Linked DNA regions of Drosophila melanogaster. The protein of the gene in region 1 purifies or fractionates together with the protein of each later gene. This does not show direct contact. Each region holds a gene or a part of one and is shown on either strand. Other genes may lie near its edges. The genes, in order: CG6610 and CG10418.

Region 1 (10,502 bases):
GCTGCTTATTGTTATCTGGATGGCCATATCCCTAGTCTTCGATGGACATGTGAGGAATGTGGGATCACTGGGTTTGGACATCTTCTTCACCTTCACCCTGGCCTGTTTCACGGAGCTGCCCGCCGATACTTTGCTTACGGTGATCCTGGATCGGTTCGGACGCCGTTGGTTGGCCTGCAGCTCCATGGTCCTTAGTGGAGTGTTCAGCTTATTGGCCACTGTGGTGCCCGTGGGCATATACTCCGCTGCCTTGGCCATCATGGGTCGATTCTTTGTAAACATTAGCTATAATATTGGTTTGCAATGGGCGGCGGAGGTCCTGCCCACTGTGGTTAGGGCGCAGGCAGTGGCCTTCATCCATATCATGGGTTATGTGGCCAGCATCATAGCACCATTTGTGGTTTATCTGGCCAACATTTCCCAAGCCCTGCCACTGATTATCCTTGGAATTTTAGGAATTATTGGTGGCTTATTGGCGCTCCTACTGCCGGAGACCCTAAATCATGTCCTGCCACAAACCCTTAGCGACGGTGAGGAGTTTGGACGTGGACAAAGCATTTGGGACTTCCCCTGTCTGGCCAAACAGGTGGACGACGATGAGGATGAAAAGAGAAACGCCGACGTGGAGGAGGTCCGATCTCAGGCTTTTGTGAGGGGAACCCAGACTGGAGCATCCCTGAATGCCTCAACGGGTGGAGAACTGAGATCTAGCATCCTGCGCAGATCGACCAAGTCACGCAACTCCACAAAGCTCTAAGATGTACGACTAGGTAATTAATTGTTACTTATAGCAGCCAATATTCTATAGATCTACCTTGCATTTTTAGCATCAAATAGCCTCTAAGTGTTGTTATAGACTTTTGTGATACTAGAAATAAGAAATTCTATGCGCCTCTACAAACAATAAATAAATTAAAAATATTAAAGAACCAAAAGTCCAGTTCCCCAATTATCACTCAACGAGAAACGGGTATAATGAGGGTAAGAAGTAGGTAAAATGCATGTTAATAACGAAATTTGTTACAGAACCCGGGTTCTAAACCGGAAATCAAATTCGGCTTCGAACCTTACAAACTCTAGAAACATTTTACATTTGCTAAAATTTTAAAAATAAGCCCAAGAATAAATTAATAGTATTAAAACGATTAACTTATAAAAAAAAAACAAATTATACTTTATTAATTCAAATAAAATACTAATAATAAAAATGGTAACACTAATAAAAATAAACACCTCCATAAATTTGTTTCTAATTTAGATCACCATCTCTAAGTACATCTTTTCGGCTATTTTAACGAAAAGCCCCGATAAAGTTATGCAATATATACACGCTTAACCGTTTATGATCATTGTGTTTATCAGCTTCTCTGCAAGTGCAAAATGCAATTAAACGTTGTATGCATTTATTGGCACAAGGGTCAACAACCAAATCCCCATGTAAATATCCGATTGAACTACAAATAAGTACCGATTCTCCACTTACCTATATAAGCGTCACCATTCGAGTGCATCCAACCAGTACAGCCAAAATGGCATCTTCATCCGCTTGGCTAGTCCTTCTCATGGGCATTGGCCTTTCTGGCGCCCTGGATTTGAATTTACAAAATAGCAGTAGCAAACTCTTGACGGTTCTCAACACATCTGCTCCGGTTCAAGAGTTGCTATACCACATCGATGTCTGGCGAAATGAGGCAGCTGCTGTGGCCCAGGATAATCCAACTTCTTCCAACCTGGAATCAGTAATTCGCTCTGAAGTTGGAGGTGACTGGGAGCGGGGTAGGCTAGTCCTTCAATTAGCGAATCAAGCCAGAACTTTGGAGCTCAAGCAGGCTATTTACACAGCGTTGTGGAAGGAGCTCCAGCAGACCAAGCAGATTTACGATCCCCTAAAGATTTTAGAATTTTATGACCAGCTGGCTGTGCACACTGATGTTCCACTCCAACTTATGGATCATATTTACCGGGCTTTCATCAGCCGAAGTGCCCAGTTATTGGAAGCTCCATTTCACACAGCCAGTCGATTGGCCACTTTTCCATTGGTAAACTCTCTGGTCAATCGTCTAACATTCAGCACTTTGGATTATCTGAGAGACATTCTGGAAGTTCTCTACGATGCTGTTTTGGCCCTAGAAACACCTTTAAGTGTAGTGCAGCGCCTGGGAAATTTAACGGCTAGTTTGAGGCAATTGGCTCAAGCTAATCTTCAATTACTTAGCAGGGAGGAACTCAAACGTGGAAATCCCGAAGTGCAAAAGGCCCTGCAGAGCAACATCAGAAATTTGCTTTCGCAGCCTGGGTTTGAAAAAGAAGTTGCAAAATCCCTCCAATCGGAAATCTATGCACACCTTCCGAAAGACGAGCAACTGCTGTACACCGCTCGAAAAGTATGCATCCGGAATGTGACTGAAGAAAATTCGTACATTTACGAATGCCCGCAGACGTACCTCATCTGCAGTAACGCTCGAGATCCAAAGAAGGCTGCGTATTTCATCCAACGTGGTCACAGTAACGACAGCCGGCCGCAATTTGCTTTTTATAGTGCCTTCTGGCGTAGTCGCTACATCCTCATGGAACCAGCCACTGCAATTGCGAGCAATGCAACCAACTCGATTACCAAAAACGTTTACAGCCGACCCAACATTAACTGGTGGAGAGTGGTATATGGAAATGGAGGGATTGCCTTTTACGATGCTGCCACTGAAAACTCTGTTCTGTGCGGTGGCGATCCTTTGCACTGGGATGGCGAGGAGCATCACGTCTACACAAGACATGCATCGGAGTTCTCAGCTCATCAGGCAGAGTGCACCTGGAGCCTCGAAGACTGCAGCGATGCCGCTTAACTGGAAGTGAGAAGGGATTTCAGACCATAATAACTATAAATTATTACTATGTTTATTTTGACTAATAAGGCACATGAGAAAATCCAACTACCTCTGCAGAAAATCCCAGGGTATGCACACAACGCCGTCGGTCAGTACCGAATAGTAGTGGGTTATGTGAAGCTTGCATCCCTGCAGTTCTTTCAACTGAAGCTGGTATAAATCTCTAAGGGATGTTATCATTTTATCCGGGGTTATGGCATCATCTTTGGTCAGCGATTGCAACTGTAGCTGCTTTATGCACGAGTCCATCAGCTCCTGCTCGATGTGCTTGTCCTGAGCGTACTTCTTCATACGCTCCCTGGCCAGCTCCAGATTTACACTGATGAAGTCTACGAGTATGGATCCCGGACAGGTGGCTGGTGTGATAAACTGGCCCGTAGGGCTTACCATCAGAGGACCTGCCTCTGATTCCACCACTATGGTAAACTCTTTCAGCGTTTTCGGCCATTCCGGCGGATATTTTTGTTTGCCCAGGTAATCGCTGAGCGAAGTGGTGACCTTCATGAGGTAGCTTGCATAGCCACTTGCCTGTTGTTTGGGCATAAACTTGCGACGACCTATCTGGATGTTCAGTAGAACCTGAGACAGTGTTCGTTCATACACGGGCACCACCTTTAAATAGGCATCGTGGTGCGGAATGTTCTTGATGAAGTCAATCCATGTGCTGAGAACATCACCAGTAAAAAGCATCACATGGCCTTCTAAACTGATGCCCGTAAAGGGAGCAAAAACCACTATGCGACCTTTCAGGGAAGCCATTTCCAACAAATGGGTGTTGGATAGTCGCTCAAGGGTCTTTAAACAGCCACGGTAGTGCTCAATGTTCCAGCCGCACTCGTAACGAGCATCTTGCAACTCCAGTTTCTCTACCAGCATTTTTTTCAGTTTGTCGATTTCGGCCTGCAGATCCGCAGTTTCCTTAGAGCGCTGTTTGGCTGTGCCAGCATTCTCTTCCAGCCAGGTGGTCAGCACTGGACGCTTACTGGCACGTTCCTGGGTTAAGGAAATAAGTATATAAATGGTTTTTTAAATTTCAAAATTATATACCAACATTCTTCAACTGAGTTTCAAACTCGGCGAACTCCATGTCATAGTGATAGTCATGGCTTGGTTTAAAATCCAAGCCAGAGGTTTTTGGCGGCTCAGGCTGGGCCTTAATGTTCTTCACATACTCCGTGGACAAGTTGCATGACTCCAGAAGACCTTGAATAAAGGTTTTGGGATCTCGGGTACTCTGCCAGTCCGTGCGTATTTGGATGAGCTTGAAGGAGTCTCGCTTGTCAGCATCTGAACTGGTGCGTACATAGAACTTGAGCACTTGGGTGTCCCCGCTTCGCTGTCTGCGTTCATACAAAGCCTCTAGATGCTCACTCAGCAATTTCAGTGAGTTCTCGTTGGTGTTCCTCTGCTCCGGATGCTGGGCAAAGAAGTCAGGATGCACCGCGAAGTAGAAGGGTCTCAGCGCCGTTGTCAGATCTGCAAAAGCGCCCAATCACATGATCATCCAAAAGTTGTGGCGCATTCAAATCAACTGACCTTGGTTCAGCGATCGGCGCAAAAGCAGGAAGTGCCGTCTGCTGGTGACCAATTTCCGGATCTTGGAGCCCAACGACATGGACATTATGTAAGCAGTGGGCGGCAGCACAACACTGCACCGCGTCACAGATGGCCAACATACGGGAGCACTGCCGCGAGATTAAGATTTTGGATATATAACTCCTGATCTTGAATTATGAGGTAAAATTGGTAGGACCGCGGCACTGAATGCCAAATATCCATTACTATCTGGGTAATAGTGGTGGCTGTTTGGGTGGGTGTTTTGAGGTCCCTCATGTTGACAAATTGTTCTTTAAATTCTTGCGATAAAATAGTTAATCTTGATAAGTTTGTCATAAAAAAGTTTTAATGAGTTTGTAATTAATAAATTAATTAGTTTTCAACGAAAACAAATGTTTTAATTAATTTTAAACGTTTAGCTATATTCACGCTAACTCTATCCACAAGATTTTGCAGCACTGACGCTGACACTTTTGATGTGGCCAGTTTTTGCGCAGAATTCCGCATTGTTTACCTCGCTGCTAAAAAGTTTTTAGCGCAATTCCAATTATTATTGTTAATAATAGTAAACAAATCATACGACAACATGACTGCCGTTCCACCCCCCTCCAACATCTCTACCCTAATGCCATTGGGTACGTAAATCTGCTACAGGTCTACAAATCGAGAGTTTCTAACTTTTGCCGGCTTCCCGTACTACCCTACAGAATTGGTGGACAAATGCATCGGTTCCCGCATCCACATTATCATGAAGAACGACAAGGAGATGGTGGGAACTCTCTTAGGATTCGATGACTTTGTGAATATGCTCTTGGACGACGTAACGGAGTATGAAAATACCCCCGACGGCCGCCGCATCACCAAACTGGATCAGATTCTGCTCAACGGGAACAATATCACAATGGTGGGTGCTCTTTTTCGAAGTTACATACGTTTGTTTATTAAATTTCATTTATAATTTGATTTCAGTTGGTGCCTGGCGGAGAGCTGGCGGAGTAGCAAGGTTCCATTTGTAAACATAAATACATTTGTAAAATATCAAAACGGTCGTTTTAATGTGGATAATATTGTGTCGTATGTAAATGTTCGAGGTATGTTAGAAGTTAGCAGTGGTCAAGTGATTAACAGCAATGTTAACAGATTTTTGGTCCTAACAGATACGAATTTGAAAACGCTTGGCTTAGGAAATGAAAATTATTTGCCCTCTAATCTCAGAATAAAACACTATATAATATTACCTAATATACAAAACATTGTTAAATTATCAATTGGAATAGAATTAATTTTACATAAATAAGCATATTTTATGCTTATAGGGACCGGATACACTTGAAATGGAATACCGAAAAAGGTCGACCGCTAATAATTCTGTAAAATGACTTCCAAGCTTCAAAAATTCAAACTTCACATTAAATATTTAGTGTCTTTCCGTTAACATTCAACCGCTACTTGTGCTCTGGCTGCCATGCAAAGTAGGCGCATGCGCTCCATCCCCAAAATGTTGGGTCTCAGCGATACAGCAGTCAACATGTGCCATAAATATTAACCGCTTTTCCCTTCTGGCCGTGCGTGTGGGTGCAGTGCACTCTCCGCAGTACCGCTCTGCTCTGCGTGCGTTCTCCCGCTTCCGTTCGGCACCTCCAGCGTTCAGTACGGCAGCAGGCTTCGACGGAAGTGGAACAAACCAAGCGGAAACAGACTCACGCGACAACAAAACCGAACCGAACTCGAATATGGAAAACTTTTACCCAGAACCGATATAGCACTGATAAACGCAACTCGGAGTGAACTTTATGAATGGCCATGACTAATTGCAGTCATCTAGCAGCAGCCACAGTCGATGTGTGAACTTCAGTGGTGAAGGTTGTCCGGTTTTGCAGCGAAAGATACCCGTGTTTCGGTATCTGTATCTGTCGGTGTCTCATTTGAGCGGCTCGAATGATCCGCCTGTAATTATGACTGCGTGAAGAAATCAATAAGTGGAGGATGGCCAGCAAGCCCATGAGCACCAGCTGCCAAAGCATTGCGACGGCGGCCAGCAGTGCGGCCACCACGGCGGCAGCGGTGTCCATCTCGGCCTCCAATGCCACCTCTGTAGGCTCCCTCATCGCCGCCGCCTGCCAGCAGGAGCAGCCACATCCCCACCAGCACTATTCCCAGTCCCAGCAGCAACACCTCTATCATCAGAGCCATCAGCAAGCGTCGCACTATGTCAATGGCACCGGCAGCTTGGGCAGGCTCAAGTTCCACAAGAGTCTCGATGCCAGCGACGAGGAAATCGAGTATGCGCAGGTATGTCCAAGTGGCCAAGTATCCAACTGCTAGTCGGAATCGTCTCCAACTGAATTCAATTGTGCCCCACACTGAGTCATAATAATGCGACAAGGTCCTGCACTGCTGGCTCAATTGAATTTGTCTTGTGGGTGGTGGCGGTGTTGGGTGGTGTGTGATGGATGGTGGTTGCTTGCTGCCTTGTTGAGTGGGTGTACTTGGGGGTGGTTTGCGCAACCTAGCTCCCATCCCAGTGCATTTGCTGCCCCCACAGCTGTTTAACCCACCAGCCGGGTCGTTATGCATAGTTTACGCTTCGCCAGGCAACCTCAACAGCCGCCAACAACCGCCGTCGTCGATCAAGTGTTAATAATTCAATGCCCCGGAAATAGTCATATATTGAAATATATCGTACACCCTGCGAGCAGCTTAGTCCCTGCAAGGGCCTTGACTTTGGCCAAGGCAATTTGAAAAATTAACCAGTTGGATTAATTTATGGGTCACTAAATGAAAGGGGCATGTTTGCGAGCATGCCATATTTACAGCACCATTAATGGGGAGCTCGGTCAAAATTTCTACTAAAGTCACGATATGAGCCACAATATAAAAATGAATGCAGTTAATACAGCTTTAATTTGAGGACTACACCTAAACACAGTTTTTACTAGAATTAATGGAATTAAACTTACATACTCAAATGAATTAAACCGTTCATAAGGCAGAAACGATGAATTCGTGCACCATTTTTTTTATAGTTTTCTAACTCATTTTCTCCGCGTTTTCTTTTTTAATGAAAATCTTTACAATTTCATTTAAAACGGGCACTGTATTTCTGTACATAATGCCATACAATTTGCTCTTCCTTGCCGATGGCATTATAGTCGGCGGGAGGTCTGTTCTAAAGCCTTTCAAGCCAGTTATTACGCCCGCACAAAAAAGCGTTAATGAAAGAACTGTGCTGTGTCTCTATACTTAGCATGTTGTATCTAAAAATAGGTGTCATCGATATAAATATAAAAATATTATTAGTACACTTGTTTATACCATGAACTTTTCCGAAACTTTAAGCTTGACTATCTTACAAATATTGTTTTTTGTTTTATTCTACTACCAACTTGTTAATCCGTGGAAATGGCTTGCATGGTATTATTTTGTCCGTACCTGTATTCTGGGTTGGTTTGCTTTTCCCTATCTAACCCGCTTTCCTTTCGGGGGGGCAGTGAAAGTGTTGCCTGCTGGGGGCTTCATCCTGTATTCATAGAAATGCTTTCAATAAAAGCAGGAAGAACAGTAGGGACGAAGGAATGGGCTTGGCAAACATCATTTTGATGGTTTGCACCACCACACCTGGCGGCTATTTGGTGTGCCACATTGCCTAGACGTGCAAATACCCGGAAGTGCCAACGATAGTTTAGCATATAAGCTTTTCACTTTCACCGCAAATCAACACATTCCTTTCACAGATAGAGAGCACAGCTCTCCAATGGCCAATGTGGTTTGAATTGCTATAGAGAATTGCGTTCTTGCTAAAGGAATTCCATATTATTGTACAATATTACATATTATGCACGTTTAATATTTAATGACATTCCAGTTATCCCGTTCTACCCATATCCTTGGGCGCCACAAATCCGAGCGATATCTGGCCTCCAATCCGGACGAGGACCGAAGACGTCGCACCATAATCGTTGAGAAAAAGAACAACTCGTATGGATTCACGCTGCAGAGCTACGGGATCCACTACAAACGGGATGAGGAGCTGGAAATGATCACATACGTGGACTACGTGGAGTACGGAGGTCCGGCCTATCGAGCTGGCATGCGTGAGGGAGACGTAATCCTCTCCATTAACGGAAAAGATATGGAGAAGGCGGACCACAAGACCATCGTCGAGTTCATCAAGCAATGCGACACCAGGATGAGAATGGTAGTGCTTTTCGAGGACTGTGTGAGGAAGGTAAAGTATTTAAAGGATAGAAAACTAAAACGTATTTCTGATAAACGTGTGATTCCCCAGGTGGATCTCCACATGCGCTACATCCAACTGCAGAGCATGTTGCAGCAAAAGATGAACGAACTGGAGAGGGTACACCTCAGAGAGCGTGAGTTATTGGAGGGCAAGTGGAAAACGCACAGTTTGCCAGCGCGTAAGAAGGCCAATGCGAATACTTCGCCCAGTGATGGAGAAGGAGTATCACCCACAGAGGTGGCTGGTGAAGCTGGCTTCTACCGACCCGCTTTGTCCACCGAGGATGTGCCCAATATTGCCGCCCGCCAGCATGGGGTCGGTGGCCCAGGAATCATACCTCCTCCCGCTCAATTTATGCTCACCTACCACTACCTGGATCCCACATACCGCTACGTCCTGCGACCCACGCACGGCAGCTCAGAGGAATTCGTTGACGGATTGGGTCTTCAGCGGAGCAGTAGTGATCACCAGCCGCCGGCACAGCGCTATGTCCTCCAGCAAACCGAATCTGTGGATGCAAATTCGATGACTCAACCCACAACAACGGCTCCTACCCAATATCACAGCACCACGGGTGGATCGGTGAAGCCACCCGCACCACCTCCTCGCACCTGTGAAAAGCACAAGCCACCTGCTAAGCCACCAAAGCCAGAGAAAGAAAAGTCATCGGGCAAGCATTGCCATGTGGGACACTCGTGCAATCCCTGCTTGGGTCACTTTCGCTGGAAGTCGGCGGAGAAGTCAGCTGTTCCGGCGCCGGATAACGTGAGCTTGGATGCCTATGATCTGGCCAGTCCGTGCTGCGATACACATTGTGTGCCATCAAGAAGACGTCATCGGCAGCATAAGGAGCACACGCATAAGCACAAACATCGTGACAGGGAACGGGTGGAGAGCAAGGAGCAGAGGGTCAGACCCAAGTCCACATCCCATGCCTCACCCAATGCCAACGGGGGTGCAGGATCTGGACATCACCACCATCATCATCATCACCATCATAGCCATGAGCAGCAGCAGCAACAACAGCAACAACAACAGCAGCAGCAGCAGCAACAACAGCAGCAGCAACAACAACAGCCCATTCAGACTGTTCCGCACCACCACCACTATCCCCACCAGATGCACAATCCCTGCCAGGTGCAATCCCAAAGTGGTAGCACCCGATCCCGCTACTTCGACTTGGCATCCGGCTTAGCCAGCCACTGTAGCTTACATTCCTGCACCTCAAGTGAGTTTGCTACAGGAGACACAGCTTCATATACCACATCCATAAGTACGGATACTTTGTTTTGGGATCCCACAAGTGAGACGGCTCAGTCCCGACAGCACTCCACAAAATCCAGGCAGTCCTACGAGCAGCAGCCACAACAGCAGCAGCCAACTCACCAGGGACACCACCACCATCATCATCACCAGGGGGATTACCACCAACGATATCATGTGACCACCACACAAATGCAACCGCAGCAGATCTATCCCAACACTATAGCCTATGTCCAGAAACCAAAATCCTGGGACAATCTAGCCAACAAGGCGGGCTTTAATGTGGGTTACGGTTACCTTGACACTGTGGCCGTTAAGCCAGCCATAAAAATGCAAATTGCCCAGCAGCGTCACTCGATGCCGCGAAGGAACCCGTACGGCAGATACTCCACTTACGGCGATGTGGAGAACTATGCCCCACCGCCCACCGAGTTTGTGGGCGAGCTGACCACCACCACAACCACCACAATTACGGCCAAGTCCACGGAGGAGCTGTTGGCCGCCTGCGATTGCTTGACGCCTCAGCAACAGGCTGCCATTAAGGCGGCCCAGTACCAACT
Region 2 (10,405 bases), 6.3 Mb from region 1:
GCTGCCACTGCTGTGTTTGTTGCCTTTGTTGTTGCTGGCATTCTGGTCCAGTCGTGCCACTCAAAGAGCCAACAGCAGCAGCAGCAACAACTCAAGGAAATTGTCGCCGTCGAGCGGCAAACTCGCCAAAGTTGCCGCGAGTGCAAGTGCAAGTATGTCTTTGTGCCCCATCAGCAGCAGCAGCAGCGGCAGCAACACCAGCAACAACCAGCAACATGCAGCTGCCGCACGCCCACCGATGGCCGCCCACAAGCCGACTTGGTCTTGCATTAAAGCCAAGACATCTACGAATATGAGAAAACCAAATATAAAAAAAAACAAAAGAAAAGAAAACCCGCACTTCCCCTGCGCACATGCGCCGTGCGGCAAAATGGACGCCGGGGAAATGGCCAGCCAATCGCAGCGAGGCTGAGGTGTGGCCAGCGATTTGCGAGGGACTTGCTCTCTGCCAGAATTTCCCTCGCTGCTAATAATCACTTGAGACATGCGCACTGCCGGGGCAGAGAGGGGGTTGCTGCAACCCTTGCACCGATACAACCCCTGGCATCACGTGCAACACGAAGAGCTGCTGTTGTTGCCGCAGGCCAAGCGGCAGTTGTTGCTCCGCAGCTCCGTTGCTCCGTCGCTCCGTTGCTTTTGTAAACAGGCGCAGGCGCAGTGCGCGGGGGTACGTTTCAGCTGGGATTTTTTTTTTTTTTTGTGAGGGCAAAGTGAAATGCTTTGATTTCGCTGATGGTTCGATCACACGCCAACTGACAGCGAACGCGGCTGGTTGTCCTCGCATTCGGCAGCGCAAGAATAGGCCACCGAAATCATATTCTAAACGAAACTGAACAGAAGCGTAGTTAAAGTTAAAGCAAAAGCAATCGAGCGTCTTGTTTGTGTGTCGCGTGTTCCTTGTGCGGTGTTGCATGTGACATTTTCGTAGACTCGAAACTAAAAAAGTAACAGCGGTGTTTTGTGGCAACTCGTATACGATGCTGGAGTTCTACCCAATGCCCACGAATCTGAATCCAGTCGGTGGCAGTTTGTACTCGCTGCAGCAGAATCATGGCGGCGCGCGATTCCTGGACAATCCAAATCCCGGCAGCATGACTGCCAGCAGCGGCAACTCCCTGCATCTTAGCAATAGCAACAACAATCTGCCAACAAGCATTTCCGGCAACAATAGTCCCACGGCAACGGCTTCATTAACGGGGCAGCATCAGCAGCACCAGCAGCAGCAACATCAGCAGCAGCAGCAACACCCCCACCAGCAACATCAGCAACACCAGCAGCAACACGCTGCCTCGACCACGCCAGTGCCAATTAACAGCTGCCCCACGCCCACAGGACACAGCCCCCTCAGCAGCAGCAGCAGCAACAGCAACCACAACAATAACAACAACAACAACAACGGGGGCAGCAGCAGCAACAACCTCCACTCAGCCTGCAACACATTAACAGCTGCTGCTGTTGCCGCTGCCTCTGCCGCTGCTGTGGCAGCTCCATCGCCAGCAGGCACCTCAGTAGCCACCTCGCAATTAGGCGGAGCAGTTGCTGCGGCGATTGCTGCTGCTGCTGCGGCGGCTGCCGCTGCGACGACACCCACATCGACGGGCCCAGCGGCCACAGGAAGCGGAAATGCAAATGGCAGTGGCAACGGAAACGGAAATGGCAATGGCAATGGAAACGGGAATGGAAATGGGAATGGAGGTGGTGCAGCAACGGCATCGGCAGCAGCGGCATCCAAATTGTCTGCCGATTGCAGCGGACGCACAGGTATGTTCCAAAAGTATTTTGCACCGGCAGTCGAGCAATTTACCGGCTCGTTCCTCTTCTGGGGTTTTCACGCTTTTCGTTTTTGGCATACTTGCGTGTGCCCGGCCTGCGGGTCCGTTTCTGTATCCGCATCAGCATCCGTATCCGTGTCCAGGTTCGGTGCTGCGCTGCGTGAGTTCCAAGCTGGTCGGACGAGGCTCCAGATTGTGTACAACCACCCACACCTGAGTATGCCGGCAGTTTGCGTGCGATGTGCTCGGCTTTTTGGGGCCCAAGGAATGCTTCTCTAGGGGAAAATATATAGATATTCGTTGTTTTTTCTTGCGAATAAAGTTGAAGTGCTTATTTCAAAAGGTGTTTACTCCTGAAACTTTTCTTTAAGCGGAATATTTCAGCATTTATTGATTGCAGTAAAAATTAGCGTATATATTCATAACATTAAAATAATATAAGAGAAAAGTATTCTTCATATTAATTAGCCTAAAATCAAAAGTAAATAATAATTTAAAAAACATTAAATAAGAATGTTCTTATTTGTTACTAGTTTGCTTTTAGTTTGCAGAATGCAAGTAAAGTCAATTTGGTTAGATATATCATAGGTTTTGTTAATTATTATTGTATCAATATTAGCATAAATCCATGTTTAACTTGGAACTTAATTGCAACTCAGCTTTCAAAGAGTTGGATTTACTTTTTAGCAAGTGAAATAGCCAGAGGCAGATTGTCCACTTATGTAAAAACAGGCAAAAGCAAATGCACAATTTCCGGCTAACACGTACATATATATTGACAGAGGACAATAAATTATGAATTTGTAGTTGTGATGGCGCACACATGTTGTGGATAGTTCAGTGGGCGGATGTGCGGCAAGCATGGCGAAAGTATTTCCAAAAGTATGAACGCAAGTTGACCACAAAATAATTTTGACAATGAACCTGTCTGACATCCGCCCGGCACGGCCAAAAAGAGGCGTGGCTCGACCAATAAAAGGCTATTAAAGCATGCCACACACTGCCTCCCTCCCACACACACACACACACACACACTGATGCTTTGGCATGCAGGCACACATACACACACACTCGCATGCATGACAGCCTCAAAATAGGCAACACTTTTCAGCTGAGTTGCAACGAAAGTGTTGCTGGGGAAAACTTTTGCGAATTTCCCTCCGAAATGCAAAGTGTGCAAACAATGTGTGTGATGCATATGCAGACCAGACCTCGTCCGAGGCTAAGTGGATTGTGTTTTCGGTTTTTTAGTGCCCCTCATCCGCCCACTCAATCGCCCACAATAGCTGTGCTCTCTTGCCGGCCAACTTTGCATTTGCCTATGAAATTTCTATTAATGCTCGCATTCTGCCATTTGCTATTTGCCATTTGCCATTGCCCAAATGGCAGCAAATAGTTTCCGTTTCCGCTCGTTCCGTGCCACTACCCCAATCCACACACCACTCCCCGCCTCTCATCCTAAGCTCCATTTTCCTCGGCAAACACTTGGATGCCGGCTGCTAAACTACTATCGGTGGCCCACACTTTGCAGAGGTCGAGGAATTTCGAATGGGCTGCCATTGGGGGTGGTGTGCACTCGGGGGCAGACCACGGAAATGAGCACACTCAGTGTCAGGTATTCCACCGAGCGTATCAGCATACATATTTGGCTTCTGCGGTGGCTCCAGCTTCGTCTTCCTGTCCTACCCACAAACCCCACCCACCCAATCGCCAGTAGGTGTGCATTTGTGTGGCGGAAGTATGCGCCATACGCATAGTTCTGTGTCACTTTCCGTTGAGATCCAGCTACACTGAAACAAAACTGCTATTCAAGAACTATACGGAAAATCCACTGGAACTCACAAAGAGTACTACATTTGAGTTTAGAATGCAAAAGTCAATATATTTTGCAATCCCTATTTGTAATTTGATTAAATCTGTATCTTACATTTTAAAAGAGTAGTTTTTGAAGTTCATCCTATTTTATTCATTATTTTATATTATGATTAATACCATTTCCATGGTGTAGATAGCAACGAAGAGTTTTAAAGACCCTGTTTGTTTGTCAGTCGAAATGAAAGCTGTCGAATTATGAGCTGCCTGTCAACGATGAACTGCTGCCAAAATCCGCGTGGCACGTGGACTGGACTCCAGTTAGTGGCCGAATTAGTGCCAGAAGTTGGGTGCTGTCTGCCGATTTATCTCCATATAACCCCGCCCCGCTGTCAATGTGTCAATAAATGCACCATATAGTGCGACAATCGTGGGGCGTTCGGGCAGATAAGCCCCTTTATCGGCGATAACGACGAGGACACTTTTCTCTATTAGTTCTATGTTTATCGTCGAGTTGATTTTGGATTTATCTGCTGTTTAATCTATGTATTTGACATGAGTGTGCCGCACTTGTTCCGACTGTTTGCGCTTGTTGTTTGTTGATTTTTGGACAAGTTTCGCCCAGGCTTTACCATTCAAGCCCAAAAACACACACTCACTCAATGCAGAGTCCTTTGTTGGCCAAAACAATACAGAGAAATCGGAAAAAAAGCATACATAAAACTGCAGTAAAATGCCATAAATTTCGATTAGATTACACAAACGAAATCCCGTCACAATATCGATGCTCAAAGCTCTACAAAAACATGAGGCCAAACTCAAAACGCAGCTCCCCTCTGGGGTTTATCAAATGAATCATTCTTGATTTTTTGCTCGGCCCATGCAAAAACCTTTATCGCCAATGCGATTGGATATGGATACTGCACAATAGGATGAAATGCAAGCCAAAAAACAGAAAAAAAAGGAAAATAGGAAAATGCCCGAGGACATTGTCAACTTTCCGCTGCACTGGCTTAGCGCCCCCTTACATAGGGATTTTCGTCCCTATTCCCAGACTATATATCACCCATACAGCCACATTCGCGTAGATATGGCGACTGTGTGCGTTTGTGTGTGTGGGGAGGCCATTGTGCCAACCATAAATCATGCACATTTTTCTGCCACTGAGCCACAGCCATATAATATAACACTCCACTTCCATTGCCAGTTTCCCTCCGCACTTTTTCTCCACTTTCCCTCCGCACTTTCCCAACTCGCTGCTCATTTTTCAAATGCTTCCATACATTTTTCGTGGCGGTCGTCATATATTTTTTATGTTTACTGCATGCAGCTTTTGTTGTGTTTTTCGGGTACTACTTTTTATGACTGGTTTACAGTTTCAAGAGCTCCGTCTACGGGAGGATTAGGTTCGTTCTACTTTGGGTAAGGCGAGCTGAAATCCAGTAGCTCCTCAATGGGAGATTAGCATTTTTTAAGGGACTTTGTTTAGGAGTTAAGCTTTGGCTTAAGTTCGGTGGTATATACAATATCAATTGAGCCATTTTCTGGCATGTTTATATACATTGATAATCGAGATGGGGGGCTGTTCAATAATACCGAACAAATACGGAAAACTTTACGTTTCAATTACGCATCAATAAGCTTTCAATACAAGCTGTTGCAGTCCGACGACAGATAATTTTTTCCAGCGAAGAGTTTTCCTTCTGTTTTTCCATCGAAAGTGCGAAACAGCGAACGGAAAAACAAGAGAGACGTTGAAGCATTTTCACACGATTCGATTGTCAGCGCGCTCCTTGCTCCATTGGCAGCACATGTCATGATAATTTCGCAGCGACATGTGCCGCCATCACGTATACGCCACGTACGCCCATCACAGTAGGGCGAATAAGCGGAGTTACACTGGAACAAAATTACTAAAGTATTAGGATTCTTCTTTGAAATATTTCTGTTCTCAAGAAAATGTTTCATATATATTTTCCAAGTATGGGTTAAATATTCGATTAAATTGATTATTAATGTAGATAGATATATTTATTATATTTTAAACCTCAGTGTATTAGTTACTTGAAATGTATTCTGCGACTTACTAACGCGACTTTTTTCCCCCATCTTTGCTTGTTTCATCCCCAGAAGTGGGCCACATCAAGTGCGAGAAGAACTTCGAGCTGTGCGAGGGCTGTGGCCAGAAGATCCATGACCGATTCCTGATGAACGTGGGCGATGCCAACTGGCACGAGCAGTGCCTGGCCTGCTGCTACTGCGGAATGCAGCTGCACCACACCTGCTACGTGCGCAACTCGAAACTCTATTGCAAGATGGACTACGACCGGCTGTTCGGTGTGAAGTGCTCCTCCTGCTGCCATGCGATCCTGCCGCAGGAGCTGGTAATGCGACCCATACCGAACTTTGTCTTCCACCTGCCCTGCTTCGTTTGCTACGCCTGCCGATTGCCGCTCCAGAAGGGCGAGCAGTTCATGCTGCGCGATGGCCAGCTCTTCTGCTATCGTCACGATCTGGAGAAGGAGATGTTTCTGGCAGCCGCTGCTGCTCAGCACTGTGGGTTCGTTGGCCTGGACGAGGAGGATTTGCTGAGGCCACGGGATGGAAGGAGAGGTCCGAAACGACCACGCACCATCCTCACATCGCAGCAGCGCAAACAGTTTAAGGCCTCCTTCGATCAGTCACCCAAACCATGTCGCAAAGTGCGCGAAGCCCTGGCCAAGGACACCGGCCTATCGGTTCGTGTAGTGCAGGTGTGGTTCCAAAATCAGCGCGCCAAGATGAAGAAGATTCAGCGCAAGGCCAAGCAGAATGGTGGCTCCGGCGGAGGATCGGGCAGTGGGCGTGGCACGGGCAATTCCAGCGCCACCGACGATAAGGACACCAATGACAAGGAGGACAAGTGCGTCAAGCAGGAGCTCGGAGGAGATAGCTCCGGTTATTTGGGTGGATTGGACAGCACTTTCGCCAGCCAGCCGCTGAATCCCAATTTGCCCTTCTCACCGGATGGTAAGTGGTTCGATTTGAAGTTTGATTTCGTCCAAGCATTATTCTACAAGTACTAATGGCTTGCTTTTCAACAGACTATCCGGCCAACTCGAATGACAGCTTCTGCAGCTCGGACCTCTCGCTGGATGGGAGCAACTTTGACCAGTTGGATGACGATGCGGACTCGCTGTCGCTGAACAACCTGGAGCTGCAGTCCACCAGCTCGTCGGGCAACCAGCACTCGCACTCCCACTCGAATCCCCACGACATGCTGGCCAACCTGAACAACAGCCTGATAAACCCCATCGACAAGCTGTATCTCATGCAGAACTCGTACTTCAGCTCGGAGCATTAGATGGCCATTGGCTGGAATGACAGGGAAGCACCGAGGCGATCGTGGGATAGAGACGAATTTATTAGCGTTAGAGTGGCAGGATCCGATGGAAAAGGGACGCGAGGTCCTTGCTGTTACTTTAAAACGTAGCGCGTAGTTGGCACCTTCCGCATTCGGCGCATTAAGTTGGAGTCGTAGAACCGGATACAAGATACATCAAATGTGATTTTTTTAAGCTAATTGAAATTTTAAGATTCTTGGCGATTTGAAGGCGCAGAAAAACGGGGCGGGCAGCACATCTTTTTGTTGGTATAGACTCTAGAGGCAAACCAAAAAAAAAAATGTATAACTCCTTGAGAAATGGCAAAGTGGTCAATGCGCCCTCTTATGTTTGTAAATAGTTTTAACCACCCGAGAAAATTGTTATTAAATGTAATTTAAAAGTCAATAATTGTATTAGCAAGTGCAATTTAATCTGTTCCCCTAAAATATACATCTTAACCGAATTCTTGCAAATGTCTGTGGATCTTATCTTCGAATTAACGGATGCGTTCAATATTTTAAATGGGTTGGGATTGACTTGCGATTGTTAATATTTTTATTTCGCATGATTTTCCTTTATTTCTTATTTTTTATCCTTCGTCTTTTATCGGTAATATCGTCTCTTATTTTAAAAAATTAATTTTTTTTTTATATAATTGTAAGAATATTTATTTATTTATTTCGTATTTATTTACACAGCCTAATTTATTTTAAATTTTTTATTTGCCGTATTATCGAAAAATCCATTTAAGATGCGTTGATGCTTGATAATAAATAAAGAGCACAATAACTAAAAAGAAAACTTATTGCGTTTACTGTATTTACTCGACTGCGAATATATACACCTTTTTTTTGTGAATACTATGAATGCCTTAGTAAAGCTTCATAAATTGACCGAAATATATTATTTAAAAACCATATTTTTTTGCCCGCCAAAATGCTGCCCGTACAAAGCTGGCTTTTATGAAACTCGACCAATAGCGACGACAAAGCGTTGCCACATGGATAGAAATAATTAACAGATGGCAGCTCAGCTACTGCTTAATTCCTTTTAAGCCACACAGTTTAAAGATTTAATATACATTAATTTTTGATCAAATTTTATGAAAGTAATATTTATAAGCCAAATGTTAATAGAATATCGTTACTCACAATCACACATGAAATGTATCGATATGTATTTTTTAAAACAGCGATCGATAGTTTTTTATTTTTACAGTGCACATCTCTAAAAAAAAACAACGCGTTCGTCGAAATTGCAATAAACAATAACAATGGTACAAAACCGAAATAACTGTGAATTTAAGAATTAACATTAACGCTTTATGTAATCTGCAGCTCTTTTACTCCTTCTTCAAGTCGCTGGTGGGCAAGGAAGTCGTTGTGGAGTTGAAAAACGACCTCAGGTGAGATTCGTTTATTTGCCGGTAAATTGAGGAATTTTTAATACTTTCTTTATAATTAAACAGCATATGTGGCACCCTGCACTCGGTGGATCAGTACCTGAACATCAAGCTGACGGATATCAGTGTCACAGATCCGGACAAGTACCCCCACATGCTGAGCGTCAAGAACTGCTTCATCCGTGGCTCCGTGGTGCGATACGTGCAGCTGCCGGGCGACGAGGTGGACACCCAGCTGCTCCAGGATGCGGCGCGAAAGGAGGCTGTTGTGAGCACAAGATAAGAATACCACTACCAGCAGCCCAATTGGATCTACCCATTGCTTCGTAAACTGTCCTAAAAACCTAAGTGAAATTCTGTTAAAGCAAAACCAATAAGAGGAATCCCCGTATTAAGTCGCTATGTACGTTATTTACGGCCCATCAGTTTTCGATGAGTCAGTCTCGAGGTTACCGTGGGTGCTGCTCCCTACGCTTGCGCAAATGTCCCAGCTTTTATCGCTCCACGCTTGAATGGAGCCAGTAGAGCCAAGTGTGGCTTGTGGGCCAAATTTTGTGTCATGTTGATAATGGTCCATAAATTTGTATAATTGCTGTGACGATGTACTGGCTGTCTGAATGTCTGGATGCCTTGTCTACACATCACCGGATACACGGACTCATTCATACAAGGTTTCCACAATGGGTTGCTATATCACACGACTATACTCGTATGTACTTGCAGCCCGTTTTACGATTGTGATTGCTATTATGGCCCGGCCCTCGAATTCAACCTTTTATCCGCAATAAAATGGAGGAGCCTGGCGGAATGCTTTTAATTTTCTGGACCTCGACCCGCTCCTTAAGTGCCTCTTCGCCAGCCGCCATCGAATGGCTTTGTTTGCTGGAATTCGTACTTAAAATAAAATACGCATTCGTGGAACACTTTTCGCTCGGCATTTACATTTCGGAATGGCCAGGGAATCGCGTTCTAAACTTTGGCAGTTGGTCAGCGGAACATCACGAAATATCGATCCATTAAAAGTTGAAGGGCTACAGGCAGAAAAAAAACATAGCTACTTCGAATATAATGTTACCAAATTTGATTGTAAATAGAATTTTTATAAACAAATTATTGCCATCCTAAGCTAGTTCGCTTAGCAACATATATTCCTTTTTAAGCTTGATGTCATTATTAAAAAAAAATAGCTTGACATCAGAATCTTTACCTTGTAATATTCCACTTAATTGAATTTAAATGGTACCAGAAACCGGAAGTTTATCGCTGAAATTATCCTCCCTTTTTTATTACATTTTTGAATGGTTATAGTCAGAATTTTTTGGTCAGTGCTAAGGACTCGTAGCTCGTCTGACTGCGCATAATTGAAGGGGGAAGTTAAGTCCAGCCCAGCGGAGTCCATCTTTCATTATTTGTGGTAATTGGGTTCCTGTTTCCGGCGCAGCTTCTAAATTGAGATTTCGAGACGCATCGCATTGTTCGTCCGACTCCGGCTCGCAAAGATTGTTTTGCATTTTGGGCCAGAAAGTTTTTCTCCGCATCGGACTTTCTATTTTCGGAATGGGTGGCACTGGCAAAGGGAAAAGTGTCCTCGTTTCTGGCCTATCGCTATGGTGGAGTGGGGAGGGCGACCTCAGCCTGTGGCGCACATAAAAATTTTGTAATATACCCGTGCTCCGGCGGGTGGATGTGAGCTCTGGGGGATTTATGGGGCACATGCTGCAGTACGTCCTAGTTCATCAACGTGTTGAGCTGTGCGTGGCGCGTAAAAGTTAGCTCGTAAAGTTACGCTGGGATCATTCGGGTTTTATTAAAAAATAAACTATACAAATTTGACACAGATTATTTATACATAAGTACGCACCAAAGTGCGCACATGAATATGCAAACGGGATGGAAGCTAAGCCGTTCCGAGGGATACGCAGCATGCACTGGATTCCTCTAATGACACATGTACACACATGTGTGTGCGTGGTTAATCCTGCGGAATTTCCAGAATCATCCGTACATCTCCGGGGGCTTTTTGGCCAAATTGAATAGTGGTGTTCGGTGGAATT

The links.
Region 2: the proteins of CG6610 (region 1) and CG10418 purify together in Drosophila melanogaster (affinity purification with mass spectrometry, with the first as the bait; one large-scale study listed by BioGRID). This does not show direct contact.

The regions. Positions count from the first base shown.
Region 1 is NT_037436.4:6,070,615-6,081,116, forward strand, and holds CG6610 (uncharacterized protein), read left to right. Parts: upstream 1-4,921; 5' UTR 4,922-5,025; coding exon 5,026-5,074; intron 5,075-5,146; coding exon 5,147-5,343; intron 5,344-5,408; coding exon 5,409-5,438; 3' UTR 5,439-5,644; downstream 5,645-10,502. Other genes in the region: CG42269 (uncharacterized protein), read left to right, coding at 1-757; CG6602 (uncharacterized protein), read left to right, coding at 1,530-2,840; CG13295 (uncharacterized protein), read right to left, coding at 2,928-3,875, 3,934-4,358, 4,419-4,503; ssp6 (short spindle 6), read left to right, coding at 6,426-6,731, 8,305-8,667, 8,728-10,502.
Region 2 is NT_037436.4:12,328,493-12,338,897, forward strand, and holds CG10418 (uncharacterized protein), read left to right. Parts: upstream 1-8,183; 5' UTR 8,184-8,222; coding exon 8,223-8,225; intron 8,226-8,286; coding exon 8,287-8,354; intron 8,355-8,417; coding exon 8,418-8,634; 3' UTR 8,635-8,744; downstream 8,745-10,405. Other genes in the region: Lmx1a (LIM homeobox transcription factor 1 alpha), read left to right, coding at 978-1,761, 5,715-6,593, 6,668-6,927.